4 linked regions of the Diceros bicornis minor genome follow. The protein of the gene in region 4 interacts with the protein of the main gene of each other region in a pairwise test. Links are inferred from orthologs where the notes say so. Each region holds a gene or a part of one and is shown on either strand. Other genes may lie near its edges. The genes, in order: HNRNPF, QKI, DMRTB1 and RBFOX2.

Region 1 (7,954 bases), on a different chromosome or scaffold from region 4:
CCCTGGTTCAGGGCAACCAGGTGGGGATGAGGGCCCTAGCAGAGGAGGGCTGTCCCTGTCAGTCCTGAGTCCTAGTCCCAGCTGTGTCCCTAGGCAAGCAACTTATTTTCTCACCGCCTCCATTTTCTCATTTGTACAATGGGAATAAAACAATACCCACTTGTAGACTGGTCATGAGCATGTGATTAGAAAAATGTGGTTAAACCTAGCTCTCTGCCTGGACCCACTAAGGCTCAATTACTGCGGATCTACAAAGAGTTGGAGAGCCAGAGCTCAGACTGGGCAGAGGCTGGCAGGAAGTCACCTCCCATTTCTGCAGCCCCTCCAGGCACCTAGGCCGTTAAGTCTCCACACTCTTCACAGTTTTGGCCATATCCGAGGACTAACTCTCCTATTTAATCAATCTTTTCCCTTAAATCAATTCACATTTTTCCTTGAATATTTTATGTTTAAAGGGAGCTTTGTAACAATACTCAAGTGAAAACCAGTCACTTGTCAGTTAAAAAGAAAGGTAGCAAAAAGGCAAATATTACGAGAAGAATGTTACTAAAATAGAAAAAAACTAAAAAAAAACGAGATCATAACATGGAAATAATAAACAATCAACTTACAGAAGTGCATACAGAAACATGAGATCCCCAAGGCAAATTATGGACTTACTTAATATTAGTAATAAAGCAATCTCTCTCAATATTCATTATATGTAGAAATTAATCTATTTTAAAATGAAAAAATTGTCTAGAAATTAGTACATACTGAAAACATTACTTTTCACTGAGAGATTAGATTTTAATATATTTTTTATCTAACCTGAGAACCCGACATATTTTCATCCTTACTAGAAATTCAGAAACGAAAACTAACTTTTAAGAACGTGACTAAAAGTAGTAGTGAGAATTATATTAAGGTCAGTAGTTTCGATGATGTTTGATATAAAAAACTATTTGCAGCCTTCAAAACTCTCCCGCTCCCGCGCCTGCGGACACCTGAGGCCGCCCCGAACCCCCGGCGCCCCCCGCCCCGGCGGCCCTGGGAAGCCGCGGTCGCACCGTCCCCCCTCGGCGCGCCACCCTCGCGGGCTCCTCTCGCGCCGCGCACCCGGCCCGCAGACAGTTGTAAACACCAGCGGAGGAGGGGTGTCCGTTCGTCCTGGGGCCTCCGGGGGAAGAGAATGCGGCCAAGGGCGTCCCGCAAGCGGCGGGCCGGGGCCGACGGGACGCCGGGCGAGGGTCCCGCAGGTGCCCGGGGCCGGGGGGGCTCTCCTGGGCCTGAGGGTTGTCTGCGGGAACACTGGGGTCCTGAGAGGCCCTTTAAAGTAGAGATTAACGGGAGGGGCCCGCGGCCTCCCCACCGTTTCTATAATAGACCAGGGTCCGGGGACCGAGTAGGTCAGGTCCCCGCGACCCGCGCGGCACCACCTCAGGGAGCCGCGCAGGAGCACGGGAGGCAGACGGCGCCGCGCGAGCTCCAGCAGCGTCCGGAAGTTTCTTAGGCGCAGTCAAGAATCAGCGAAACACATATTCAAAGATACAAAGAAGGAAAGCACGAGGGAAAAACGAAACGGCCGACTAAGCCCGCTCAGCAGAAGCGTGGTCACCAGGCAAAGACAACGAGAACCAGAGTTTCACCCCAACATGCGAACACTGTACCTCGACGGGCAGGAGACAAACGCGGACGGGCGCGCAGGGCACACACGCGGCTCGGAGAGGAAGAAAAGGCCGTGAGCACCGAGAGTGGAGGCGCGGCGAGCGGGAACGTGGGAGGGGGAGGAGCCAGGCCCAGCCAGTCTTGGGCAACTCCCGGACGCGCCCGGCCACGTGAGGGAACTGCTCTCATTTCTAAAGGAAGCCCCATCCGACAGGCCCGTGTGCCCGCGCCCTGCTCCCCCTGGAGTCCGCCCGAGGCCCTCCTGTCCTTCCTCCCCGCGGGTCCTGCCTCCCCTAACCCTAAATCTCAGCCCCCTGGTCCAGTCAAGTGTAAGGCCTGACCTCAGGCCCGCCTCCCCGGACCCCAAATCTCAGCCCCGCCGTCCCCACCCCCAGGGGAGCCCAGTCCAAGGTCGGTCCTCCGGTGTGCAGCCCCTGACCTCAGACCCCACCTCCCCCAAATCTCAGCCCCGCCGTCCCCACCCCCAGGGGAGCCCAGTCCAAGGTCGGTCCCCGGGTGTGCGGCCCCTGACCTCAGACCCCACCTCCCCCGACCCCAAATCTCAGCCCCGCCGTCCCCACCCCCAGGGGAGCCCAGTCCACGGTCGGTCCCAGGGTGTGCGGCCCCTGACCTCAGACCCCGCCTCCCCCGACCTCAAATCTCAGCCCCGCCGTCCCCACCCCCAGGGGAGCCCAGTCCACGGTCGGTCCCCGGGTGTGCGGCCCCTGACCTCAGACCCTGCCTCCCCCGACCCCAAATCTCAGCCCTGCCGTCCCCACCCCCAGGGGAGCCCAGTCCACGGTCGGTCCCCGGGTGTGCGGCCCCTGACCTCAGACCCTGCCTCCCCCGACCCCAAATCTCAGCCCCACTGTCCCCACACCCAGAGGGCCCAGTAGCCAGTCGGTCCCGGGTGTGTGGGCTTCGGACCCGCGGCCCGTCCCGCCCCTCACCTCAGGCTCGGAGTCTCCGCGCTCCCGCTCTTCCTCACACCCGGCACCTCGGTCGTCCCCCTGAGCACCTAGAGGAGGGTGGAACGTGGGGGACTTGGCAGTTGTAGCTGAGGCAGTTGAGGCTTGTTTACCATCACCATGGAAACCCCTGGCAGCGCGCCCTGGGCGGGGCTTCCGAGGGGAGGGGTCAGGCGCGCGGCAGGCCCGAGTCCACAACTCCCGCCCGTCGTGCGCACGCGGCGCTTCCGGAAGCCCTTACATGCCCGGTCCCCGCTCGGCCCTGTGCCCCAGCACCTGGGAGCAGCAGCCCCAAGAGATCGCGCCCCCGCCCGCCTTCCGTGTGCTGGCGTGACCGCAGGCCGGTTTCCCCACCAAACCCCACCTTGTTCTCCTGGAAGACGAGGCGCAGCGCTACTTCCACGACAGAGCCGGAAGGACGCAAAGACCACGGCAGGGCGGGGCCGCGAGGGCGCCATTGTGACGCGCCCGGAGCGGAGCCGGGGATTGGCCGGCTGGGCGCGGGGCGGGGCCGGGAGGGCGCCATTGTGACGCGCCGGGAGCGGAGCCGGGGATTGGTTGGCCCGGCCCCGGGGCTGGTAGTGCCTGCGGAGCTGGGTGGTGGAAGGAGAGGAACGGGGCGGGGGGACGAGGGCGAGCTTTTCTCTGGGAAGGGGAGGGTTAGCGGAACGCTCCTGAGCTCCTGACGATACTGACTGGGAGAGCTCCCCAAACAGTGAGCGCAAAGGGCATCTGGCTTGAAGACCAGCCTGAGAGAAGAAAATGAGAGTCGTTTCCTGCCGAGGAAGAAAGAGGGAACCGAGAACACCGGAGACGAAAAAAGCGGCTCCGAGGGGAGAGTTTAGGGAAAGATTAGCTGGTTGACTGAGGTTGCTCACGTGATTATCACTTGGGCTGAGAAGCCCCCAACTCTCTCAAGGTGACCCAGAAGACCCAAGGAGAATGCAGGGTTGCCTGTCACAGAGGCCCTGAATTGAGAAGCTGGATGGAAATGGCTACTCCGCCTGAGGCAGGGGAGCAGATGTGTCCTTGGGTTAATAATTATTACCATTTTAATTTTGCAGACACTCTTTAAAAAGATGACGATATCAAGACCCTCATCGCAGGTTAAGGAGAAGATTACTTAAAAATTACCAGTTAAATTAAGGGAGTGCTTGGCATAGTATCAGATTATGAGTGGACAATGATAGTAGAGAGAGGAGCGTAGTTTGTCAAAAGAAGCTGATTCCAGGAAGGAAAAAATGGGAAGGGTAAAAGCAGGAGCTGTCAAAGGAGGTGAAAATGTACAAGAAGAAAATTAATCAAAGGCAAAATTACAGAAAACGGGTCCTACAAAAATCAGATAGGTATTCTTAAGAAACCCCACAATGACTGTCACTGCTCATGCTGTAGAAAAGTCTGTTTCTGGAGACAAAATGCAAGAGCCAATCTGAGGCAAGTATTAAAATTATACCAAAAAATAGTAATGCTTCAGAATTTGGGACTGTGAAACCAGGTTCAAGGAGATAGGTTCATGCAGTCTGTTAAAAGGACTTCTGTTGTGGGCTGTTTGATGCCCTCATCAAGTTTGACAGTTCTCCATCATTCATCAGTGATGCAGTAACCTTTGAGGTCTTCTCTGAATGGAAGACTAGGGCCTTGGCCTGATTATGAGCCTCCCCCTGTCCAAGGGAGTCATCCCAGGTGTCCACTATGTTATCTTTTTCAGAGGTGAGTGCTAGCACAGCCATATATAGGCTCTCTTCCATAGTGAGGGCTGGAATCAGACTGGTGCCACAGATCCTAGGTCTTTTCCACAAAAGTCCAGCTCATCTCACCAACTGGAGAATGCTTACCCAATCCTGGTCTACTTGGATCACCTCCTCAGCTGTGGGGGCTTAGGGGCCTCTACCCTTTCTTTTCATCTCTATGTACAGAAAAGTGTCACCTAAGCTCTGAAATCTAAAAAGAGACGTTTTTTGATTCTTGAGAGTACCTACACAGAGATGAGCCTTTAAGGTCTGTGGTTTAAAAACAACTGAATTCACCACAAATGAAGATCACCCCAAGATGTATCCTGTTACAGACTGACCTGTTTATTTCCTGTTGTTTATGTAAATAGATTATCACAAATTTAAGACCTTTTAATAAATATTTTAAGTTTTAAAAATAAGCTTCTCTCTGGAAATTACTCGTCCATAACAAATGGTACAGAGGTTTGTATTGTCTAGAGTCTTAAAATTTCCCAGTTGATACCACTTGAAAGAACACTTCACCCATTAAGCTTTGACCCCCTTCCCCAGGAGAATGCCAGTGGGTAGGCAGGATCACCAAGGCTCAGCAAGGCTCTTATTCAAAATCACAGTATCTGTTAACTAGCATTGATGATAACAATACCTAACGTGTTGCAGTGTTCTGAATACTTAATCTCATTTCAACATCATAGCAACCCAAGAGTAGATGTTATTACTATCATCACCACTTAGTGGAAGGAAACTGAGGTAGAGAGTTGTTAAGGGAACTTTGCTAAGGTCACTCAGCTTGTAGATGGCAGATCTGGGCTTTGGGCTGAGGCACTCTGGTTCCAGGATCTGCCCTCTTAACTGCTGTGCTCTCAAGATGTAGGGCTTTCAGCCTGGCTTACCAGCCCCTTCTCTGTCTCCCTTTCCCATCTGAGAGAGGGAAAGAACGAAATGAGAAAGCAAATTCAACTGTCCAGCCACGGTATAAATACTGTCCAAATGTAAATTTTATCCTTGAGGCCAGGTGCTCTAGTAGGTGAGATGAGGGATAAGATAACCCAGCTGGGACAGAGGCAAGTTGAGAAGTCAGCCTCGTCTGGTTAATTTTCTTGACTAATATAGAAAAATGCACCTTTGAAGCAGCACAATGCTTATTCAAGAGGAAAGTCACCACCACAGAGGGCTCGACCCCCGCCCCCAGGGTTATTTGCAGTGCTTTCAGGGTACTTTACGTTCTTTCAGACAGCACTTTGAGTTAGTGAAAGAGATGTTATGGCACCCCCTGAGCTTGATGGTTACTTGCTTGAATTGGGTTCTTTGCGTAGCAAAAGACTGCAGGTGGACTGTGTGGTTCTGGGCAGTGTTGTGTGGCTACCCTTACTTTGACCATTTCTTCAGCAGGCCGGCCCAGCAACAAGCCTTGGTTTGAATGTTAGTGAACAAAGGTCTAGCTCTGTCTCCATTCTGATTTGTCAGCTTTTAGCCTTATCATGAGTGTTCCCACCCAAAAGTATGTGCAGTTAGATGCCTTCACTACTATGGGGCCTCAGGAGAATCAGAAAACTTCATTTGGATCAAGATGTGCTGTTATATGTCAATTATATCTCAATAAAACTGGAAAGAAAAGAAAAGATCTGCCAGGTGCAGGGCAGCTTGCAGCTTCCCTCTGCCTTTCTCTTGTAGTAACTTCCATTTTAAAAAATTATAGACTGTTGAAAACAAACACAAAATTGTAGATATTGTACAAATGTAAGAGATATTGACATTTTGACGTATTGACTATTTCCTCTCATTGTTTTGGACCAAAAAAAAATTACAGATTAAACCACCACTGGTGGGGTATTGACGTTTTGTGATCAGAGAAGAAACAAAATGTGTGGTCCATTTACATAACTTTTTTTAAAAAGAATATTGCTTCCTGTAATACAGTTTGTGTGGGTAGATGTGTGCTATCTTGATCCGGTTTTGAGGCCCTGCTTAGACGCTGGTCTAGTTCCTCTTCTTAAACAGCCAATTAAGTCCACACTACCAAACACCTCCCTTATCGGGCTCTGACACTCTGGGCCGCCATACACTCCCTAATTACCCCAGGGCCAGATATCAACCAGAGACAGCCCCTTGCTCCGGAGCCCACTGAAATTATTTAAATTAGCCGATCCTAAACCTGTTTGCCCTGTTTAACCCTTTCCTTTCAGCAAAAACCACAATAAAGGTGCTTGCCCACAGTTCCCTCTTGCTCTGCCTTGTGACCAACCTGGTGCTTCCCCTGAGTGGCCCCGGTGGCATGTTGAGTTCTCCTCCGAGAGCTGTGAGTATAAAAAACCGTAAAACTCTTTCCAGTTTCTCTCTCTTGATCTGCATCTGACCTCACTGTACCTTACCCAAGGTATTATGATTAAAACAGTTCCTTCCCTCTGCAGCTTCTATTTCAAAACTATCATGGTTGGATGGGTGGGCGGGAGCCTGGCACTGAAGTCTTTGAATCAGCCCCACATTTCCCCTGAGTACCAACCCCTTCAGGGGAGCAGCCTTTCCTGCCTCTGGTTCTTTAAGGCAGAAATTATGCTCCAAAGGGCAAATGAACAAGGAGGCCAATCGTGGCCAGTGATTCGTGAGCCTCACTCCACGTGGGAAAGAGGTGATAGGAGAGAAGTATGGGCCCAGGCCATGCAGGTGCAGTCCTCCCTCTGAGAGCTCACTATATGCTAAGCATTTTCATTACCTATGTTGTTGTCAGAAGTTCTCTTTTTTATCACTTGGGATTTATTAAGCAGCAATGTGTCCTGCTAACCTTTACATTTTGACCACTTTATTTATGAAAAAATGAACCCCAATAATAAAAATAAATCCAAAAAATAAACTCCAAATTTTATCCTGGAAAAATGGAACAAATTTGAGATCTTTATCTTCTTAATAGGAGTTCTTAATAATGTTGACTTTGAAAGTTTCTGACCTACGACATGGAAAAAAAAGGCGGGGGTTCATAAGTTAAGAAAGATCGGTTAAGTAAAGTGGTTTTGTGTGTGGGTGGCAATGAGAGAGACAGAAAAAAAGAGAAAAAATAAAAGAAAGAAGAAATTCCTCATGATATATTCAAAATACTGAAAGGCAAAAACTTTCAGCCAAGAATACTCTATCCAATGAAACGATACTTCAGATACGATGGAGAAATAAAAGCTTTCCCAGAGAAACAAAAGCTGAGTGAGTTTGTCACCACTAGGCCTGCCTCACAAGAAATGTTGAAAGGAGCCCTCCCATCTGAAACTGAAAAGCAAAAGTTTACAAAATCTTGAGCAAGGAGATAAATAGACAGAATCAGAAAATTGCAGCTCCACATCAGAACAGGTTAGTAAACACTTAATTACAACATAAAAGACAAAGGGAAAGAAAGCATCAAAAATAAGTATAAACACTTCAATTTAGTCATGAACGCACAACACAGAAAAGACCAATTTGTGACAATGACAACTCAGAAGGGGAAGAGGAAAGAAATGGAACCTGCTTAGGCTAATGGAGATAAGAGGCTATCAGAAAATGGACTGTCTCATCTAGGAGATCTTTTATACAAACCTCATGGTAACCATTAAACAAAAAGTCAGAGCAGAGCCACAAATCATA
Region 2 (6,939 bases), on a different chromosome or scaffold from region 4:
CTACCATACAGAAGCAACCTTTACCACAGGGAGTTGAAAAGGCTACAACTCAAGACAGACTAAGACAAGAGATGGAATGAAGCATATTAAAAGGAAAAAAAATATTATTTAGAATGTTTCATCCTCAACTAGTGGTCTCCAACATTTAAAACTCAAGTGGTTACTATTTCAATCAGAGAGAAATGAACAAACTTTTGTTAGAGACAATGACATAATCGGAATTCTAGATTTAGAAAATTAAAAATTTTTGAAGCCAAAGGTTAGAAACTTTTTAACAGAGAACTCCAAATTATCATTTAGAGATTTTAGATAACATAAAAGCACAACTGAGAAGCCTTTTAGAATTAATCAGAAAAACTCAAATTATTTACTTTCTTAAATAGTATGCATAAGATGAAAATATTTCCAAACTTTTTTTATTATCGCCTATGCTGTTTGATTGAACTCGACATTTTAATTCAAACTTCTTCAACTTTAACCCTAAGTATTGTCAAGGCCTATTTTCATTTTAATGTCTATAAAGAATTCCTTGTAAACAACGGTACTTAAGAAAAAAGTGCTTAGAAATTTTTACTAGTACTACTAAAATTTTAACTTCACCAAAACATGCCAAGGGAAAATAATATCATATTTTTGAAACGTGGTAAAATTGTTCCAATAACTTTAAACAAAGTATTTTCAGCGTTTGTAAATACATATATGGACACAAAATGACAGATAAAATAATATACTATCATTTAAATTTCAACTAAATTTAATGTAGGTCAGATTATTGAGTATGTTACACATCTTGCTCCAAACATTTCTCATGTTTAAAAAAAAAATAACTGGCGCCCCTTAGCGCTCACATTTGGAAACACTCAATTTAAGAGTTCCAGCAGATTTTTTTTTTGACATTCCAGAAAGTTTTCTGCCTCCACAACCTTTCAAAAGCCAACACAAATAGGAAAAGTAGAACCCCTTAAAGAGACAGCTCAACTTTTCTCTGGAGCAATTCGAAATTAACACACTTGCTGTTTCAACAGTGTTGAAAAAGCCCATTGCAATATGGATCACTGCTGTATGTGTAACACATGTATGCAAAAACGACAACGCAGTTAATACCTAACTTTTGTACTTTTAAAGTTGTTTCTATGACTTTCTTGACAACAAAAGCTCCCGGGAGTCTTCTTTAACCATCTTTTATCTCGGAGACATTTCCGGTCTTTTGTTCCTTAGTGCCATTCCAACTCTCTAAGCTTCAGATTCCTTTTCCCCAGCTCTACTGTAAAAATCGGGAAATTCTCGTGAAAAGCCTAAAATCCGTTGTTCACCTCTATAAAAATACAGTTTCCAGTTTTCTTTAAACAGTCCTCCGCTGATGCTTCTAAACCGAAAAAAGAAACTCCTTGCTTCTCGATTTGCAAAACAGATTTTTTGGTTGGTCATCTTATTCCCTAGGCGTCCACAGAAAGGCACAGCTACCAAATATTAATGCTCCAAGTCGCCGCTGCACGAACTCGCAGAAAAATTCCAGAGTTAGCCAAAATTAATCTTCTTGTCACTCTTCGCTCCCCACCGACAAAGCTTTTGGGCAAACTTCTGCTCGTTTTTCTTTTCGCCCTTTCAGACCTCTTGATTTCCTGTCCTGCAAACTCAGGCAGCGGCGTGCCGGGGAGCAGGCTCTCCGCCGGAGTTCTCTCCAACTCGGGATTACGTCTACATTCATCCTCGCGGTATTTCGCGCTCGCCCCCACCCCCACCCCAAAAGTGAAGTTCAACTCCCCAACACTTCTCGCTTCCCCAAACAAAAGGACCGAAAGTGCTTTCCGCTGTCATTTGGGGCTCCATCAGCGTTACTTTCGGGCGCCCGCGGCATTCCTTTACATTCACGAGGCCCGCGCTACTCCCCTCGAGTGTTTACACGCCACACAAACTCCAACAAACCACAGCCCCGCGGGAGCTCCGCTCGGGGACCCGCCGGCGTCCTCCGGGAGGCCCCAGGAGCGGCTCGGGCCGGTGTCCTTCAGGCGCCCGCGGGCCGGCGAGGCCGGGCTCCTCCCCGGGAGGCCCGCGGAGCTCGGGGCCGTCGGGAGCCCACTGCCGCGGCCGGGCGCCGGGGGCGCGGGACGGGGCTTGCGGCCGCCCCCACACACCCGCGGGGCGCGCGGTCCCGATCCGAGGGCCCCCCCGCGCCGCCGAGCCCGACCGGCCCGCGAGCCCGGCCTCGGCGCCGCCTCCGTGCACCCCCGCCCGGGCCTCCCGCTCGCGGGCGCACGGCCCCGCCAGCCGCGACCTCCCTGCCCTCCCCGCCGGCCGGCGGGCGTCGGGTCCCGGGGAGAGCGGCCGCCGCCAGGGCGCGGGCCGCCAGGGGCCGGCGCGGCGACTCACCTTCGTCCAGCAGCCGCTCGAGGTGGTTGAAGATCCCGCAGAAGTTGGGCAGGCTGCTCATGAGCTTCTTGTCGTTCATCAGCTGCATCAGGTAATCCGGGGTGGGCTTCGGCTTCTCCTTCGTTTCCATTTCCCCGACCATATTCCAGGCTCCGCAGCTCACTCCGCCCGCCGCCGCCGCCGCCGCCGGAGAGGAGGGAGGGAGGGGCGGGGAGCCCCGGCCGCCGGCCGCTCGGAACTCGGCGTCCCGCTCCGCTCCGCTCCCGCGCCGGGCGCCGGGGCGGCCGGACCGCGCGCTCGCCGCGCTCTCCCCGCCCCCGCAGGCACTTTCGGCCCGCGGCCCGACGCGCTCCCGGCCCGCCGCCGCCGCCGCCGCTCCTGGCCGCCGGCTCGGCGCGTCCCTCACGAGGCCGGCGGGCGGGAGGCGGGTCTCCGCGGGCCGAGTGCGGGCGCGGGCCGCTCGGCGCCGGACGAGGAGGAGCCGGGCCGCCGCCGCCGCCGCTCGCTCGGCTGGTCGCGCCCGCTCAGCCGCCGCCTCTGCCGCGGGCTCGGGGTCTCTCTGGGCTGGTCCCCGCCGCGGCCGCCTCTGCCGCTGCCGCCGCGCTCTGACTCCGCTCCTCCTCTTCCTCCTCCTCCTCGCCGCCTCCTCCTCCTCCTCACTCACTTGGCGGCGGAGTTCGCCTCAGTTCAGGCGGCGCTGCCAGCGGCGGCGGCGGCGGCGGCGCGGGGGGAGGGGCGGCGCGGGGAGGGCCGGGGGCGGGCGCCGGGCGGGGCCGCGCAGGGCGGCCGTTAGCGGGGCCCGGCCGGCGCGCTCCTCCTCCCGCCGCCGCCCCCCGCGGCCCCGGGTCCGGGCGCCGCAGCCGCCGCTGCCGCGCCGTCTCCCTCCGGCGGGGTGGGCGGCCTGAGGGGCCGGTGGCGGGCGGCGTGACGGAGGCGGCGCTCGGCGAGCCGGGCCTGGGCGCCGGGCCGGGGTCGCCGCCCCGGGCGGGCGAGAGCGGAGGGAGGGGTCGGTGCGGGGCCGCCGGCTGGGGGAGGGTCGCGGGCGGCCGTGCTTTGGACTGGGGCGGGGGCTGGGGCCGCCTCGCGTTGCTCGCCAGCAGGCGGCTCGTCTGGCGGGCGCGGTCGGGCGGCGCGTTAGGTGAGAGGGATTTCCAGCGGGACGCGCCAGGGCCGCGCTCGCCGCCCCCCGGCCCCCTCCTCGCCTCCCGTTACTATAGTTTTTGAAAACCCTCTGATCCGCCACCCCCCAAAAGAGGATTTTTTTTTAACGTCCTGTTGCTTCACGGGGGACTTTCGGGGTGGGCGTCACGTGGCCCGACACGTAGCCGTAAGGTTCGAGAGCGCGTGCGCGCGTCGAGGCCGGCATCCACGCCCCTTCCGAGGGTCGCCCCGCCCCCGCCCAGCCCTGCCAGCGAGGGGGAGGGGCGGGGTCTGCCGCGCGCCTGCGTGGGGAGGGGGCGGGGTCGGGGAGGGGGCGTGCCCAGGGGATGCGGAGGGGGAGGGGGAGGGGGTGGCTGGGCCACGGGACCCGGAGCGGCGGGTCTGGGAAGCAGCCGGGTCTTCGCTGCCTGGCTCCGGGTCCGCCTCCAGAGGACGCGTTGGCGGTGGGCTTTGACTACCGCTGCGAAGCTGATGGGAACGCACTAACACCCCGTGTTCTCGCGGTCCCCTCTGGCTTCGGGAGCCACGCGGCGGGAAGGAGCCTGAGAAGCAGCGGGCCCCGCGTAGGCGCCCCTCGTCGCCCCGACGGCGTCGCTCTGCCGGTGCAGGACCTGTGCGAGCAGCGGGCGCGCCTCTGGGGACAGGCTGTGCTTTGTCGCGGCGTTCCGTTATTCCGGGAGCCAGCGACAGCCAGGACTGAGCGTCGCGGTGTACGGAATAACGAGGGGACGCGATGCTGTTGGCGATCTTGCGCTTCGTGGTGACATGGGTGTTCAGTAATAAAATGCAGCCACAATAAACAAGTGAAATAAAGAGCATGTACTGTACCTAGTTCGGAAAACGAAAGTCAACATTCGTATTTACAAACTTGCAAAAATAATCATACAGCGGGCAAGAGATTTTCCAAGCAGCATGATGGGGGGATTTCAAATATTTAGGTTTGTTTGGGGAAGAATTTTCTGAACTGCAACAATGTAGTTCTCTGCTTTATAGAACGTTGTCAGTCACTAAATCTGTATCTGCATTTTATTGCAAGCTCTTTATGACGTGTTCAATTAACATGGACAAAATTATTCAAAATCGGCCTGACGATTGTGCGAGTTACACTGGCTGAAGTATCTGTCGTGTCTACTGTGTTTTAACTGTGAAGAACTTAACTGGGATTTTTGGTAAAATTTTGCTTCGCACCAATTCTGAGGAACACTTTTGAGTTGTATTGAAACTACGGGTTTCAAACAAATACTCTTTGAGTGGCAAGTAGCTTCTGGCCTGTTCTTTTGAAGAACGTAGAATGAGTTTGTTTTTAAAAGTAAGCTACTTTGATGGAGGAAATGGAGTTGCCTTAGGTAGACAAAGTTAAAAACATGTAACTCGCAAATATTCTAAGTTCTCCATCATCCACAGCTGTTAATAGGGCCACGGAATATTCACCTTCTTAATTATCTATTTAGAGGATGAATTTTATAAGTGCAAGGAATACTAATTTGATCAAAAAAATTGTTGTCTCTTTAAAACTAATGTAAGGTATGCTGCTTCAGTACCTAGGAAAATGATAGGTGGTTTTAAAAGGTTTTGGTACCAAGTTATTCATTTGATTTGCTAGTTGTAAAAGATTCGATCCCCTCTCTTAATCGGTTCACTTGTTCATTAAGCTCCCAGGCCTGTGCTAAATGCTTTATATTGTAATCTCATTTAATCTTCAGTTCAACCTTGTGGCTCATATTGGCCAAGGCCTTATTTTACACAAGGGGAAACCCAAGGAGAAGGAGGTTAAGTAACTTCCCAAGACTATATAGCTCATGAGTCCTGGGTCCAGGATTCAAATCCACTTTTATTTTATTCTAAAACCCGTGTTCTTTGCCCTTTTACTAATCCTATCCAATAAGTCAGGTTGAAACTTCTAACGATGTTCGACCATTTTCAACCCATAGAATCTACAATTTCATATGGCTCACTCGGTTCTTATAATCTAAATGAGCCAGATCAGAGTTAAAGAACAGTGGTAAGCAATATTCACTTCCGACCTATTAAATCCCTTATGGTTACAGCATTTGATCATAGCTGATATGTATTGCCTTTCCAAATATGCATACTACATCAGTTCTCTTATTGCAGTTCTTCAGTGGTTCCCCCACCCCCACCCCGGCCCCGCGGAATGAACCCAAAGACAGGTACCAAGGCCTCTGAGATCTCACAAGCTCTGGCCCCCTGCTGCCTCGCTGATGTTGTGTCCTCACTTCCCCTAGTGTGCTGAGCTCTACCCCCTGGAATCCCTCCTGATCCTTAAACAGGCCAAGCATGCTTTCTACTCCAGGACTTTGCCCTCGGTGTTCCCTCTCCTTGCAAGCTTTTCCCACATCTGCACGCCTGCTTGCACCCTTTCCCAGGTCTTATCAGAGAAGGCTTCCTTTACCACCTTTATAAAATATCACATGTGTGTACACACACACGCACACACACATACTCTGTTAGTCTCTCTGCTTACCACCCTTTTAATTTTTTTCATAACATTTGTTTCCCCCTGACATGTTCTATCTATGGGTAAATTTGGCTGTCACCTCCCCCTACTGTAAGCTTCATGAGAGCAAGGACTTTATTTTGTTCTATTTTGAACTCCCAACCGGTAGAACAGCACATGTGCATATAGGCACTTATTAAAAATATGTTCAGAAAAAGAAAAATATGTTCAGAAAAAGTATTAAGTACTTGTTATGCTTCAGGAATTGTGTAGAACCTTCACCTACAATATTTCTTTTAATCCACACGGCAGACATTTGAGGTAGGCATGAATAGCCAGATTTCAGAGGAGAGATGGCTGATGCTTAAGAATAGTGAGAAGCTGGTCCCACAGAGGGCAGAACTGGGTCCAACAGGGTGATACCTCTCATTGAGACAAGCGCCCTGTCTGCAGGTGTCCACGGTATCCCTCCCCTTTCTCGCTCACCCTCCTGCCTCAAGGCATTTTAGGTATATATTACACCATTAATTACCCGACATGTGACAAGTGCAATGAGGAATACAAAAATTCTTGGGATATATCACTTGCCATCAAAAAGCTTAAAACTGTAAAAATTAATGTGGAAGGACTCTTTAGTCACGTTATTACAAAAATATCATCTTAATACAAGTTACAACATACAAGAATATATGTATAGGTGAGCTTCCAGTTGAAAGTCCTTATAATAACTTTTCTTACTCTGAAAAATTATGTCATCTAATATGTTGACACTAGAAATGGTTCTACATTTAACATCAGTAATTAACCACGAGTGGAAATGTATTTTCTGTTCTCTTAAATTTGATTGGCTGTATCTGCTTATTGCTATTCTTGACATTTAAAATAGAAAATTACAGTATTCCAAACTTTTTTCATCACCATGGAGTTCTTGCAGGAATGTTTCTTAGACT
Region 3 (7,094 bases), on a different chromosome or scaffold from region 4:
CCGACTTGTCTACATGTGAATGGACTCGTGTACATGTGTGCACTCCCAGAGGCGCACACCGCACAAGGTCAATGTTGTATCCCTCCTTCCAGTGCTCAAGGCTTGGCACCGAGTGGGCACACAAGTGGCTTCCTGGGATTAAAGATCCATAAAAGCAGCAAGGGCAGTGGGATAAGGAGGAACCTGGAAAGGAGTCAGGGAAGGGACTCACCAAGCCCCCTCCATGGTAGTGGCTGCAGGACACATGCCGGAAGCCCTGCTGCAGGGGGATCCCTGGGGCTGGGGTGGCGTCCTGGAAGCCCAGTGGGAACGGGCGGTACGAGTGCACGCTGGAGCAGCTGGGGTACAGCTTGGAAGGCTCTCTCGCCAGGTACTCAGACCCCACCACACAATCCGAGTTGATGCTCAGAGAGCGCCCTGAGAAGGTAAGCAGTGAGGAAGTGTTGAGAACACAAAGAGCTAGGAAAAGGAGCATCACATCACTGTCCAAAGGTGAAAGTATAATAAACTCTCACTTCCATTTACAAAGAACTCCCACAGCCACTAGGCTTTTAACACTCCCTGTTTTTTAAACCCTTCAACCACGTCCCACTGCTCTTAGAAAAGTCCTCGGCACAGCCGTGAAGCCCCAAGTGCTGGTTCCTGCCTCCACTCCAGCCTCCTCGCTTACTGTAACCTAGTAGCTTCTTTCTCACCCACATCAAGCCCTTTGCAGATGCTGTTCCCTTGGCTTGGAAGGCTTCCTCCCCTAACCCCACTTTGCCTACTTAAGCCTTCAGGACTCAGTGCCTAGTCTTCCTTCAGACCACAGCTAAACCATCAGTTATAAGAGCTCTATCCACTGATTTGTGTGATTCTTTGATCAGTGCTGTCTCTCCCACAAGGACAAGATCCCTGAGGGCAAGGAATGTGACTTTTCCCCCTCACCTGTTCCTCACTGGCGTTTGGCACATAATTAAGTGCTCAGTCTTTGTTCGTTGAGAGATGGAACAAAGAAAGGCACTGTGTCATGGAAAGGTACCCTTCTCCTAGGATTGCTGTTTCAGGTCTGTCTTCCCCACCTAGTTCCCTGGGGGCCTAGATTTTCCTAGAATGTCCCAGAAAGCAGAAATGGCCTTCAGAGGGCATCCAGAGGGAGAGACTGACACAGAAGTAAGGTGCTTGCCTAAGGTGACAGAGTGAGCAGGCCCCAGCCTCCTGACTCAGACTTGTGCTCTTTCTACCACACTGCCATAGGGAAAACCAAGAAAACACATGTCTTATACTCAAAAAGAGCCGTTGCTTAAAACTCAAATCTACATGTGATTTGAAATTATACTTTAATAGTGAAAGCAGCAAGACATAAGGAACAACGTAATTTATGCACGTGGTGGGAGAGGACAGAAAAGAGACAACACCTCAATGGACCAACTGCTGTCCTCCAGCAGGGGGCAGAGAAGGGGCCTCATTCCCACCCATGCCGAGGGAAAAGGCGGGAAGGGATGCGCAAGCTCATTGGGCCAGGGCACGGGTGAGGGGAGGGGCCTCCAGAACGCAGACAGGGAGAGAAGGGTGCGCAGGCGCAGTCATAGTTGAAAAAGCACCACCGCAGGACCGTCCTGGGGGAGGCGCCTCCAGCTCAACAAAAAGGCGGGAAGAGGTGCACAAGCGCAGTAGGGCCAGCCTCCCCCGCGGAGGAGGAGCCACGGCTAAGCGGACTAGAGGCCATGTTTTTCTTGCAAGATGGAAAGTCAAAAACTGTAGCTAAATGTTAAAAGCCCTCTGGACCACCCACTCCTTTCTGTCGCTCTTTTTACATTTTTGCAAAAAGGCACTCAACCCAAATCCGTATTCAGAGAAAGGTTTCGGAGAGCGAGCCTAGGTCTGGGTAGCGTTTTCCCCGCCCCCACCCCCACCCCCAGGGCCCACCCTGCGGGACCGGGCGGCCTGGGACGCCAGCGTGGGGAGCAAGGCCGCGCGGGCCCGGGCATCTTACCGAAGTCGGCGAAGGGCGGGCTGGGCACGGGTCGGAGCGGCCTGCGCAGCTCCGGGCGGCCGGGGTAGCCCCTGCCTGCGGCCTCCGCCCCGAGCTGAGGCCCCCCGGGACCGGGCATGGCCGCGGCGGCGCGTTCGCTCGGCCCCACGTGGCCGCGGCCGCCCAGGACTGGCTGGAAGGCGCTCGGGCCGGGGCTCGGGCCCCGCGGGGGTCTCCCGGGGACGGAGGCGGTCGCGCGGCCCTTGGGGCCCGGCCCCGCGTCTCTTGACGCGGCGAGCAGGGGCAGCGGGCGGAGGCTTGCGCCGGGGGCGGCGGCCGCGGCCCCGGAGGCCAGCTCGGGCCTCTCCTGCTCCTCCTCGGAGGCCTGCTTCTTGAGCACCTTCTGCGCGGCCATGATCTTCTGGCGTTCGGTGATCAGGTAGCACTTCTCGCAGGTGCACTGCTTCCAGCGGCACTTGCCCGCGTGCCCCTTGACGGGCACAAGGAAGCCATGGTTCCGGCACCGCGAGCACTTGGGGGTGCGCAGCATCTTGTCGGCCAGCTTGGCAAGGTCTGCCTTCATAGTACAACCGCCACCTCTGGGAGCTGCAGAGCGAGTGGAGCGGGGATGAGCCGCGCCCCACAAGTCCCTGGTGCTGGGGACGTTGGATACACTTGTAACAAAGCGGCTCTCAGTACGTTCCAGGAACTGCAGCAAGACCTTTGCATTTTCCCACCTCTTTTGGGGTGCAAAATTTGCAGAGGTTCTGTGCCTTGGTTGGGTGCAAGGGATTGGGTTGAGTAAGTTGTTCAAGGAATGCCATTGCATGAATGTCATCTGAGTTGTCTGAAGTCTTAGGCATTTAATTTCCCAAACTTTCTATTCCCGCCACCCCGGAGACAGAAAGTATTTTGTAACTTCAAAAAAGGCGGAGTGATATTCAACGGTCTACAGATTTAAAGCTCCAGACGAACGTAGCTCTCAGTAAACCCATTCCAGTATAAAAGCATCCTAAGCGGCAAACTGCTTCTCCTTCCAAGAACTGCTGCTTCTGCTGAATTTCATTTCTCTCCCCTGCAGAGAAGCAGCCATTCGCAGTTGATGCTTCCAGAATATTCTCAGGAGCTGAGTACAGTGTGATAGTTGCTTAAGGATGTGCCCGTTTAGAAATTCCCATTGCTTAACAGTCTTGTTGGTATAGGAATGCATTTCTAGAAGATGGCCTATTGCTGTTGTTGATGCCTTCCAAAATAAAGCATACTTACAATGCTTTAATGTAAAATAAGACGTAGGATATTTTAGCATGAGCTTGAATTATTGATTAAGTTTGCAATGAATTTAGTCATCCCTGTAAAGCAACCCAAATCTTGAGACACCTGAAAAGCTGGCCAAAACTTCATAGTCTACCAAGGCCACTAAATTAACTCATTTTCTTGTTTGATAGAAATTTGTGACACCCTGAGGTCTTTTTCCTTTTTTCTTTTTTTTAGGTCCAAAAAAAAGGAAAAAATGAGCCACTCACACCTAAGTTGAAAGCTAATAATCATAGAATCGGGAGGTAGTTATGGTTACCACCTGGCTAAAACATGTGCATATTAAATGGCCCTGTCTCTGAAATTCTCTCTCTGTGATAGCAGAATGCTAGAAGTGGAGGCCTGGGGTCCTTGATTTTCCTGAGCCTCTGGTTGCAACTGAACTTTGCATTTCTCACCAGCTGCCTAAGAATAGGAAATGGTTGCCATTCTGAGGCTGATTAGATGCTGGAAAGCTGACAAGAGATTTGTAAAGCCTTTTTCTGCTTTAAAGAAATATATTCATCATCTTAATAAGAGGGCAAAAGTATATGCTTCCTGTATTATTTGGCCCTTCAGGAATTTCACTGGTAATTTTACATCCATTTAAAGAGATCTAGGATTGTCTCTGCTTTGCTCTAATGAAACCGGCAAACAGTTAGCCATTGATGATTAAGCAGCTGATAACTATGGGGGATTGGAATTGGCCACTTCAAAATATGTCTCTGCCTGAAAGACACTTTGGCCCCCACCCCCACTAACTGACCAAAGCAGTTTGGGATGGGAGGCCTGCCCCCAGAACAGGCCATTACCGTAGACATCTCCGGTTATCTGGGAGGGTCCTTGCTAAGCCCATTCTTAGTTCTAGTTACCCTTTTTAAGATACATTTACATTTGTAAAGGAAATCTCCATCTGTAAAGCTGTCTTCTTCCCTGTACCAGGAAGAAGGGGGGGATGGCCTTACCTAGAAACTTATCAGAACAGAAGGCAAGGCCAGGACTTAAATCTGCATGATAAACTTACCCATTGTTAACTGTGCTGTTTAGGCAATATGCTAACCGACTCCCACTAGGTTCCTATAGATGACATCTCCCTGGAGCCTGGGTCACCATGGTAATGGGTGTTTGAGCTATTTTTTTTTTCAGGAATTGGAACCCCTTGTCCACTTCAGGCCGGTTGAGACCACCAACCCATCAACTGGGCCCATGCAGACATGTGTCTGATAAGCGACCTTTTGACGTTGGGAGGTTAAAGCCCCACCCTCAGGGCAAGCTGACGCCACCATTCTGTGAACATGCCTCCTACGAAGAGGCATGAAGCCTGACTACGCTTGCGCAGATCATCAATTACCTCATCTCTCCTCACCTCCAATCATTTCAGACCACCTTGCCCCTACCCCATAAATAGCCCTGAGTCCCTGTTTTCAGGGAAGCAGATTTGAGATCCATTCTCCTGTTTCCTAACTTGGCAGCCTTGTTGTTATTAAACCCTCTCTCTCTCTGCAATCTCATCATCTCAGTGTTTGGCTTTCTGAGTGGCTGGCAAAAACGGACCTGGTGCAGTAACACTAACGCCCTCTATCTTAACTTTTGATTTAAAAAATATGGTCCCACAGATAAAAGGAGAGGCAAGCTCTTTTTCTGACCCCACCCAATTCAAAATGTCTAATTTTTTCACTGATCTTGTCATTTGAAAATAGTACTTATAAATCATAGTTTCAATACTACTGTCAAAAAATCTGGGGCATAAAGCTGTATTGTTTCATGATACTGCAAATTGTAAGATCGTTTCTGCATTATCATATTTAAATTTTAACATCAGATGACATGGGACGATAAGGCCTAAAAAAGAAAACTAATGTCATTTACATTTCTTGCTTGACCACTCAAGCTCTCTTCATTTTCCTATTAATTATTTAAAGAAAAATCCTATTCAGAGGCAACTATTTGAATTAACATATTTTAGCCTTGTTAACTACAAAATGCTGCCATATTTACTTCCTAGCTTTAGGGGCCAAATATACCCAAGGTGATGTGAATTTGCATAGTGCTTTGAGAACATTAATAAACAACCATGTATCTTTTTAATCAGTAGTCACATTATAAGATGCAGAAACCCCAGAGTTTATACAGTAAACAAATCTAAGAAAAAAAAAGACTAGGTAATTTCTCTCTTCCCCCCAAAGTCTCAATTTGTGTAGGTAAATTCCAACAGAGCTTTATTTATTTCACTCTTGGAAATTCAGGCAAATTGGTAGTTTTGTTTTATTTAGGTTGATGACTGATTACTTCAGGGGCTGCTGCTTTTTTTTTTGTTTTAACATACATTTCTTTAAATTGTTATTTTAGAAGATGGTAATGTCTTAGAAGTGAAAACTAGAAGTCAAAAAAAGGATGGGAGCAGGGAAGGACCCCTTCCGTCCCCACACCTAAACCTTAGGATATTTATGTTTAAGAAAGTCTGCATCATCATAAGCAATGGTTTATAAAATAACAAGTTATCGTTGCAGGAATCACCAGTTTGACTAATTAACCACAAAGGGGCTGGTTGGCGGTCATATTTGACTTCCAGCGTCAGATATGGCCCTTTTTCCCTCAGAATCCCAAGTTTCCTATCTTGAATAATGCCTCTTCCTTCAGTTAATATGATTGCTATTTGTACTGTTTAATTCATATTCATTTTAAAGAGCCTTGTATTATGCAGTGCACAGGGGTATCATTTATAATCATTAAATATTGTATCATGCATTGTACTGTTTCCTTGCTGGGAACACACAAGAGTAAGGAAGGGCTTTTTCGCCTATGGCATCTTTCCCCCAGCAGCTATAACCCAGATATCTGCTATCTTCCCCTTCTTCAATCTCTCTCTAGTGAGCAATGAAAACTTTATTGAAGATTTTGTAGGGGATGGAGGGGAGGATTTACATGACTATCCTATAGCAGATGCTTTAAAATCCTGCCTTAGCGTTTCTATTCTCTCAAGAGCTTCCTCTGCCATGCCACACCCACTGGGGAGAAATGGTTTGTTCATGCCCCCCGCAACAGTACCCGACCTTCCTAGCTTCTCTCTCCTCTCTTTATTTTTTGAGAGCTCTGTAACAGCTGTGTCTATCTTATTTTCCATTATGTCCAGAACAAAATAGACATTCAGTCACTATTTGTTGAATGTACAAATGAACCTTGCCTCCTTCTTCTGCCAGTGTCAAGGTTACCTCCTCTCTAACTGGCAAGGTAAGTCAACTTGGCTTCAGCAACTTTGCCTGAACATCAAACAAAACAGACCCCAGAGTGAACAGGACCTCTCTCTTGACAAGCAGAATTTGGGGATCAACTTTGGTTCCTTGAGCTAACCTCCCACCCCTAATAGTTTAGTAATAGTGATAATAATAGCTGGCACTTACCAAGTGTTTATATGTGCCAGTAGTTCTTAAGTCCTTTATGTGTATTAATTCATATCATCCTCACAACAACTCTCTAAGGTAGGGACTGTTATTTTCACCCCCATTTTACACAGGAGGCCTAGAGAAGGTAAGTAACTTCCCAAGGTTTTCCAGCCATTAAGTAGCAGAGCCATGATTCAAAACCAGGAACTCTAGCCTCAAAGTCCATGTTCTTAACCAAATATCTGCTAACTCGATATTTCTTCTAAACACTGTGTTCTCCCCAAGAAAACTTTGGTGATGAATAGAAATGTTTGTCTTTATTACATACCCATTACAGTTGGGGCTATAAGGGAGCAAAATTTGCCACCCCAAAGTGTGTTTCTTGGGCATGAGGATTATTTTAGGCTGATTATTTTTAAGAAACAGAAGACTCAGGAAGTTTTTCTTTTCACCTCCCCCTTAAC
Region 4 (7,114 bases):
CGGCCCCTCCACCTCCTTCTTCTGGACTCCGTGGCACAAGTCCTCTGCATACTTTGGCTCTAAATTATGCAATGCCTTGTGACATGCATCTACCCTGTGGTATCTCCTCTCCTCTTCCTCTGGAACTTACAAAAAAAATCACATATATATATACACACACACACACCTTTTTTAACTTTTCACCCTTTTGTCTGGCCACCTAGATTGTAAGCACCAAGTACCTTAAGGTCAGGGAACTTGACGTATTTTTTAGAAGGTAACTTAGAAATCATCCTGTACAAACTTTATTTTACAACTAAGGAAGCAGAAGCCCAAAAAGAAGGGATTTTCCCAGAAACATACAGCTAGTTGAAGGCAGGGGGCTAAATCAATGATGATTTGAATACCTGTGTGACATGGAGCGTTAGAACTGCGACAATGAGAATGCACAAAGTGAAAAATAAATAAAGATCCCCAAAAACACAGAGTGAAAAAAGGATTCTCTGTGGGATAGTTCTAAGTTGCCCATTTGTACCCAAAGGACCTAATCCACTCCTTCCTCTGCATACTCCAAAGTCCCCATACACTGCTCCATTTCCAAATAGTACTATCCTTAGCCAATTTGAAGGCAACCAGCAAATAATGGGCCCCAGGAGGAAAGAGGGGGGTAAGAGAGGCAGAGTCTCACTATTAACCATGATTGACAGAAACAATACATGAACACATAGATATATATGCACACGCCAAGCGGAACATGCTCACTAGCACCCACATCCACTCTTCTCTCCTTATCATCCAATGTTAACCCACCTCACCTGAAGTCTCCCCATATTCTCTCTCTTTTCTCCATGGCCCTGAGTTTTACTTCTCACAATCCCTCTGTCTGACAGAGTTCTAATGGAGAACAAAAGCAGGCCAACAAAACAAAAGAATTCAAAAATAAACACCAAGAGGGTCACTTTACCCAAATCAACACAAGTAACAGAGTGGCCTCTGCCAGGAGACCAAGAAGAACACAGCAAACATGCCAGGCTTCCATAGAGCTCCCTCTCTAACACAGGAAGTCAGGCAGAGCCTTCCAGAGCAGGGAGCAGAGCACAGGAAGTCTTTTAGCGCTGCAGAGATTTCCAAGAGCGGTGTAATGGAGAGAGCACAGGAGTAGGAATTAGAAGACTCGGCTTCTAGTTCTAGTTTTACTACCAGCTCACTGGGTAGTCTTTGGCAAGTCACTAGTCTTCTCTGGACTTTGCATTCCCCCTCTAAAAAAGGAGGTGGTTAAAACATTTGGGGACTTGAATCCCCTCCAAAAACAAACCAAAAAGATGATGACAACTCTTGCCTTTCCCCCACCAAAAAGTGCACGTAAACTATTTTTGCACAAGAATCTTCCAAGTCTATCCAGGCTAAGAACCCCTGGAAAAGATGAGGTCTCTGGTCTCTTCTGTCTCTAACATTCTCTGATTTGAAGAATTAGGCAGATGTCTACACAATTGCTGGTAGGTGAGCCCCACCACTTCATAGCAAGTATTTTCTGAACAGAGATCAAATCCTAAAATCTACAAAGGTTTCACGCTCTTCCTCAAACTACAAAGTCAACTGACATCATAACTCCGTTTCCCATTCCCTGCCCAATCAACCAGATCATGCTTGGGTTCACGACTCAGAATCCAGTCCTCTAACAGCCCTATAAATTTTCTTTTACACCCCAGGACATTAAAGAGCTGGGCTAAGATACAACTGGCACAGTACAGGAGGGGCATGTTCTGTGTCTCTCTTCAGACTCATTAGCAGGCTCCATAAAGTTAATGAGACCGAGCACCACGGTGTCCCCACAGCACTACCCAACTCCTTGTACTTCCCACCCTCCTCTGTAACTAATTTAACCCACAATCTAAGCCACATCCCCTTTGGGCTCTCGAGGAGTTTTCTCGCTTTCCACGCCTCTCCTTTATATGCCGCTCCTTCCCCATGCCAGCGGGTGTCGAGAGTGCCAAAGGTACTCCTCCTTCTTGGGAGGTTTCCCACCACTGTCCCCCCGTCCTCCACTCAGTCCCGCGCCTCTCTGGGCAACAGACCCAGGATCTCCCGGCTTCCACTCCCCGCCAAGTAACCCAGGAAGGGTTGGGACAAATGGAATCCATCTCAACCATGTTCGATTTCCCCCCAAAACCCAGTCACGCGTCGTGCCCCTCGTCCTCTCTGGAATCAGGACCCTGGCGGGCACACCGGGGTCCCTGCACCCTCTGCCTCCACGCCGGAGGGCGCCCCACCTCCCAACCAGGCCCCGACCCGCCCCTCCCACCTCCGAGCCGGGACCCCGGGAAGCCCGCCCCCGTCCAGCCCCGGAGCCCCGCGCCACCCTCACGGCCCCGGCCGCACCCCCGCGGTCACCTGCATCCCGCCGCCGCCGTCGGCCGCCGCCTCCTCGGTGCGCGGCCGCTTGCTCAGGCCGGGCTCGGCTCCGTCTCCTCCCGCTCCGGGCGCCGGCAGCTCCAGCTCCGACTCCCGCTTCATCCCCCGGGCAGCGGCGCCGGGCCCGAGCTGAGGCGGCTGCTGCGGCTGGGCGCCTTCCGCCATCCGCCCGCGCCCCCCTCGCCTCCGGGAGCCGGGCGACCCGCGACAGGCCACCTCCCCCTGGGCCTCGGCCCCGACTGTCGCGACAGGCGGCCGCGCGCCTGCCCCCGCCCCCGCCTGCGTGCGTGCGTGCGCGCGCGCGCGGGCCCGGCGCCCCTCCGCGCTCGGCGGTCGCCGCTCGTCGCTCGCCGGCTCCTCGGCTCCGGGCCGCCGGCGGGTCGCGACGGGCTCTCGCTCGCGCCCCACGCGCACACGCGGCCCCCGGCCCGCCCGCCGCGCGCCCCGCCTCTCGCCCTCACGGAGCCCGCCCGCCCGCGCTGGCTCCCTCACACCGGCCCTCACCCCACGCCGGCCGAGGGAGGAAGGGGGCGGTCCCGCTCCCGAGGCGTGGGGAGGGGTGTTGATGTGGGGGGAGGAGGGGCCCGAGGCAGGACCGAGCTGACTGGCCGGGATCCTCCGACCCGCCACTCTGGCAGCACCGGGAAGGCGGGGAGAGAGAAAGGACGAGGGAGGGACCGGGATCTGGGACTCCAGCCCGCGCCGGAGGCGGTGGCGGGGCGGGAGGGGGAGTGAGGGGGCGGGGCCAGCGCCCCTCGGCCATCTCCGCCGCCTCCGCTCCGGGCGCCCGAAAGAGGCCGGGAAGAGATCGGGAGAGTTCGGGAATCTCCGGCACGGGCGACGGATTGTCTTGGAGGCCTGGCGCCGCCGGAGTTCCAGCCAGCGCGGAGGGGGCGGGGTCTGTTTCCTTTAAGGGCGGGGCCGCAGCCTGCGGCGGGCGGAGCTTGAGAGGCCTGAGGGCAGGGTGGCAGAGTTGTACGGAGTTCAAGGGCCACGTTGGTTTCAGGCGAAGGAAGAGGCTCTCTGTGGGAGGGAACTCTGCCTGTTCCTTCTCCCGCAGAAGAATGGGGATCTCCGGTTGGAAGGTCCAGGAATGAAGCCACCACTACATGGCTCTCCTCATTTCTGAAAGCTTTTACTCTAATCATAATTATTATTATCATCACATTCCTGATCATCTTAATAATACCTGATGTTTGTAGGAGCTTTACGGTTTACACAGTGCGTTCACAGACCCGTTTTGAAGCTGATGGTATAGATACCAGGGTCTCCGTTTCACTAATGATGTACCTGAAGCTTAGTTAAGTCCGGCAGCTGAAAAGTGGCAGATCCAGATCTCAGGACACCAGATCATATTCTTTTTCTCTACATCTTGCTGCCTGTACAGCTTATCAACTTCATGCAAGTAGAGATGTTCGTGTAATAGCTTCTGTCTCCTACCAGACTGTAAGGACCAAGAGGGCATCTGTTTTCTCTGGGTTCCGCATTGTTCCCTGTACTTTATAGGGAGATATGATGTTGCATGAGCCACTTGGGTTCTACTAACTAGCTTACACGAGTTACTTCATCTCTTTGAACCCCTGCTGCATCATTTGAAAAATGAGGAGATGGTTCAGATCAGTGGTTCACTACCAGGGATGATTTTGCCCCCTTCCCTCTCCCTCTCCCCCCAAAAATGTCTCCAGGCTGGAGGTTGCTGCCAGCATCTAGTGGGTAGAGGCCAGAAATGTTGTTCACTAGCCTGTGATGAACAGGGCAGTCCCCACAACAGTTATCCAGCCCCAAATGTCAATAGTGCTGAGGTTGAGAAACCCTGGGTTAGATGATTTCTAGGGCCATTTCCAGATGGGTCAACAATTTGTCTTTTGAACTTGGATTTAACCTGACTGGTGCTGGAACAGTACAGTGGTAAAGATCCCTGCTTTGGAGTCAGACCAAGCCAGGTTTGAATCCAAGCTTTACCACCTGCTATGTGATGTTGGACCAGTGATGAGTTAGGAATTTCTATATAGAAGGGGTTTAGGGCCTGCAGGCTAGTTGGAAAGGAAGACAAGAGGATTTGTCTTGAAGCTGAGTTTTCATAGTGAGCACGCTGTTTTTACCTAGGCTGTGTTATAGATCAATAAAAATAGCCAAGTTTTAGCTCTGCCGCTTACAAGTCATGGTGCCTTGTGAAAGCTACTTAGCCTCTCTATGCCTCAGTTTCTTCATCTGAAAATTAGGATAATAATAGTACTTTCCTGAAAGGATTGTTTGAGGATATCTAAGAATATCATTATCACTACTATTGGGTTTTTGAATTACATAAGGTGGCTTCTGTGGGGCTGCTAGAGATTAGGATGGGCAGACAAAGCTCCCCAAGTCACCCTTTGCTGCAACCACTATGTGGGGCAAATCATTTATTTTCACTAAGCCTTATATTCCTTGTCGGTAAGATGACAATAATAGTCACAGTATTGTTCTAAGGATTAAATGGGACAAAATAAAGCGCTTAGCACAGCACCTAACATATAGTAACTGCTTAATAAGTGGTAAATATTTATCATCTAATGTGTTTAATGATAGTAAGCTACTGGTTAGGGGGCAATGCAGTGGAAAGAGAAGCCCAGGCATCTCTTAATCTGCTGTTTGGGCCAGTAAGTTGGAAGTCCAAGTGCCTGCAAGCTTGTTCTTCAGCTGAATTAGGCAGCCCCAGCTGAAGTCAGGAGTCCCTGTGGGCAGTACCCCACAGCAGATGGGCTTGATTCTGTCCAACCAAGCATCATGGCTTTGAAGAAAAATCAGGATTTTCCAGGTGGCCTACAGAACAACAATGACTTTTTTTTTTAACCTAAGGACATCAGTGGTTGGTTTTCTAAAAATTTTACATTCCAAACTAGTGTCTTAAGAATTCTCCTCTCCTCCCTACCTGCCTTGCCAAAATACTGGAATCCAACTGGTCCTTTTTGGGCTGCTCCATGACCCAGCAAGAGATGATATTTGGGGTCGGGACTGCTTGTGACTCAAATTATTGTTACTCAAGTAGCACACATGTCCCTAAGAAATAGAGCGATGGGATATAGCAATGTTTGAATGACCAGGCAGAACAAAGAAAAACTGGACCCTGCCCTGTAAACAAGCTTTAAGCACTTAGGGAGAGAGAGCATAGAAGCCTATGAATAGTAGAAGAGGCCAAATGTGCCCATGGCACAAAGATCAGGGTCATTGCTTTCACATACTTCTGCAGCTACCTGTTTGGGAACAGGTGGTTATAAAACATCACAGAGGAGGAGGACAATTGAATATTTTCCTAGAAAGAATTTTTAGCTACAGAAACTACTGAAGTCCTAACATTTATTCATTTCTCCATTTGACAAACCATGGGCACCAGTCTGGGGTACCAAGGTGAATAAAATTGATTCCTAGCACCGAGAAGCTCACAGTCTAGGGAAGGGATGATCAAATAAAAAGACAATTGTAATGCATCATGATCAGGAGGTCATCTCTCTTAGTGGACAGGAGCATGGAATCTGGTGTCAAGTAGACATGGTTTTGAGTCTAACTTGGCCATCTGTCTGACCTTGGACAAGATCATTAGCATTCTAAGGCCCAGTTTCTTCATTTGTGTGACAAGCACTGGTAGTTCCCAATGTAGTATCCATTCTCCTCTAATTCCTTACTAGCAGAACCCCAATTTTGTTCAGGGCACAAATCTGCCCAGCTTTAATAAGAGGGAAAAAAAAAAGAATTCTCGGGCTCCCTGGCAGCTAAGGGTGGCTATGTAACCCCATTCTGGCCAGTGAGATGTAGGTAGGGGACAGCATTCCTTCCCAACTAGTAAGACAAAACCACAAGAAGAAAAGGCACTCTGCCCTTCATCCTTTGCCCTTTGTCTCTAGCCTTCCTCCCTCCTGGAACACAGATTGGGAAAACAGCAGACGTCTTGTGTCCACAGTAACAAAAGCTACGTTCTAGGAATGGTATTGTGGAGCCACCATACCAGCCCTAGCCCGTCTACCTCTAATGTATTGTTATTTGAGCAAAATAAGTTCCCATTTGGTGAAGCCTCTGTGGACAGGTTTCTACATGCAGCCAAACTCAACTCCTGCCTGATACAATCTGTAAACCGAGGATTATCATAGTATGGCCCCTGGGGTTCTTCTGAGCGTTGAATAATGCATGCAAAGCACTTAGCATGACACCTGGCTCATAGACACACTCAATAAATGGTAACTTAGACCTTTTTACTACTATTATTACTCCTATTATGTTTATTAATATGACTATTCTATGTGCCACAAGCTATAGGAGCTATAGGAAGATGGAGCTCCCCGTGCCGGAGGGAGACAGGACAAGCTTCACCCAGAATGTTATGTTTGATCTGGGTCTTTAAAAATGAGGGGGAGTTTCCCAGGATATGGTTTCTGATAAAAAGTGAGCAAGTTCTTGTGTGCCTGCGAGGGCTTAGGAGGAGTTCAGCACTGTTCACCAGGAGAAACCCCGATAAAGACCCCTAGCACGGGGTTTGGAGTCAGGACCAGCTGTGGTCCCCAAACTGAGACTGAGAGGTGAGTGGGTGCTGGAGCACCTAGCCACAGGGCTATTATGGGACCTTAGGAGATAATAGATCTTATGACAGATCTAGTCAAAAGCCAGTCATTGTTAACCCAGTACTCTGGTTACCAGCAGCCATCAGACAAGCTGGTGGTACAAATCTTTGTATCTATAAGCTCTTTGAGAAAAT

What was found.
Region 1: the proteins of RBFOX2 (region 4) and HNRNPF interact in binary tests that used the Homo sapiens proteins (3 or more experiments, as listed by UniProt). The link is inferred for Diceros bicornis minor from reciprocal best matches to the Homo sapiens genes RBFOX2 and HNRNPF.
Region 2: the proteins of RBFOX2 (region 4) and QKI interact in binary tests that used the Homo sapiens proteins (3 or more experiments, as listed by UniProt). The link is inferred for Diceros bicornis minor from reciprocal best matches to the Homo sapiens genes RBFOX2 and QKI.
Region 3: the proteins of RBFOX2 (region 4) and DMRTB1 interact in a two-hybrid assay, tested with the Homo sapiens proteins (3 studies listed by BioGRID). The link is inferred for Diceros bicornis minor from reciprocal best matches to the Homo sapiens genes RBFOX2 and DMRTB1.

What each region holds. Positions count from the first base shown.
Region 1 is NC_080745.1:15,289,126-15,297,079, forward strand, and holds the start of HNRNPF (heterogeneous nuclear ribonucleoprotein F), read right to left. Parts: upstream 3,012-7,954; 5' UTR 2,980-3,011; intron 2,666-2,979; 5' UTR 2,598-2,665; intron 1,732-2,597; exon of another isoform or gene 1,650-1,731; intron 1-1,649.
Region 2 is NC_080778.1:7,347,815-7,354,753, forward strand, and holds the start of QKI (KH domain-containing RNA-binding protein QKI), read right to left. Parts: upstream 3,008-6,939; 5' UTR 2,513-3,007; coding exon 2,371-2,512; intron 1-2,370. UniProt on the Homo sapiens protein: RNA reader protein, which recognizes and binds specific RNAs, thereby regulating RNA metabolic processes, such as pre-mRNA splicing, circular RNA (circRNA) formation, mRNA export, mRNA stability and/or translation.
Region 3 is NC_080752.1:15,755,191-15,762,284, reverse strand, and holds the start of DMRTB1 (doublesex- and mab-3-related transcription factor B1), read right to left. Parts: upstream 3,014-7,094; 5' UTR 2,793-3,013; coding exon 1,976-2,792; intron 418-1,975; coding exon 212-417; intron 1-211.
Region 4 is NC_080764.1:13,676,851-13,683,964, reverse strand, and holds the start of RBFOX2 (RNA binding protein fox-1 homolog 2), read right to left. Parts: upstream 3,007-7,114; 5' UTR 2,557-3,006; coding exon 2,371-2,556; intron 1-2,370. UniProt on the Homo sapiens protein: RNA-binding protein that regulates alternative splicing events by binding to 5'-UGCAUGU-3' elements. Prevents binding of U2AF2 to the 3'-splice site.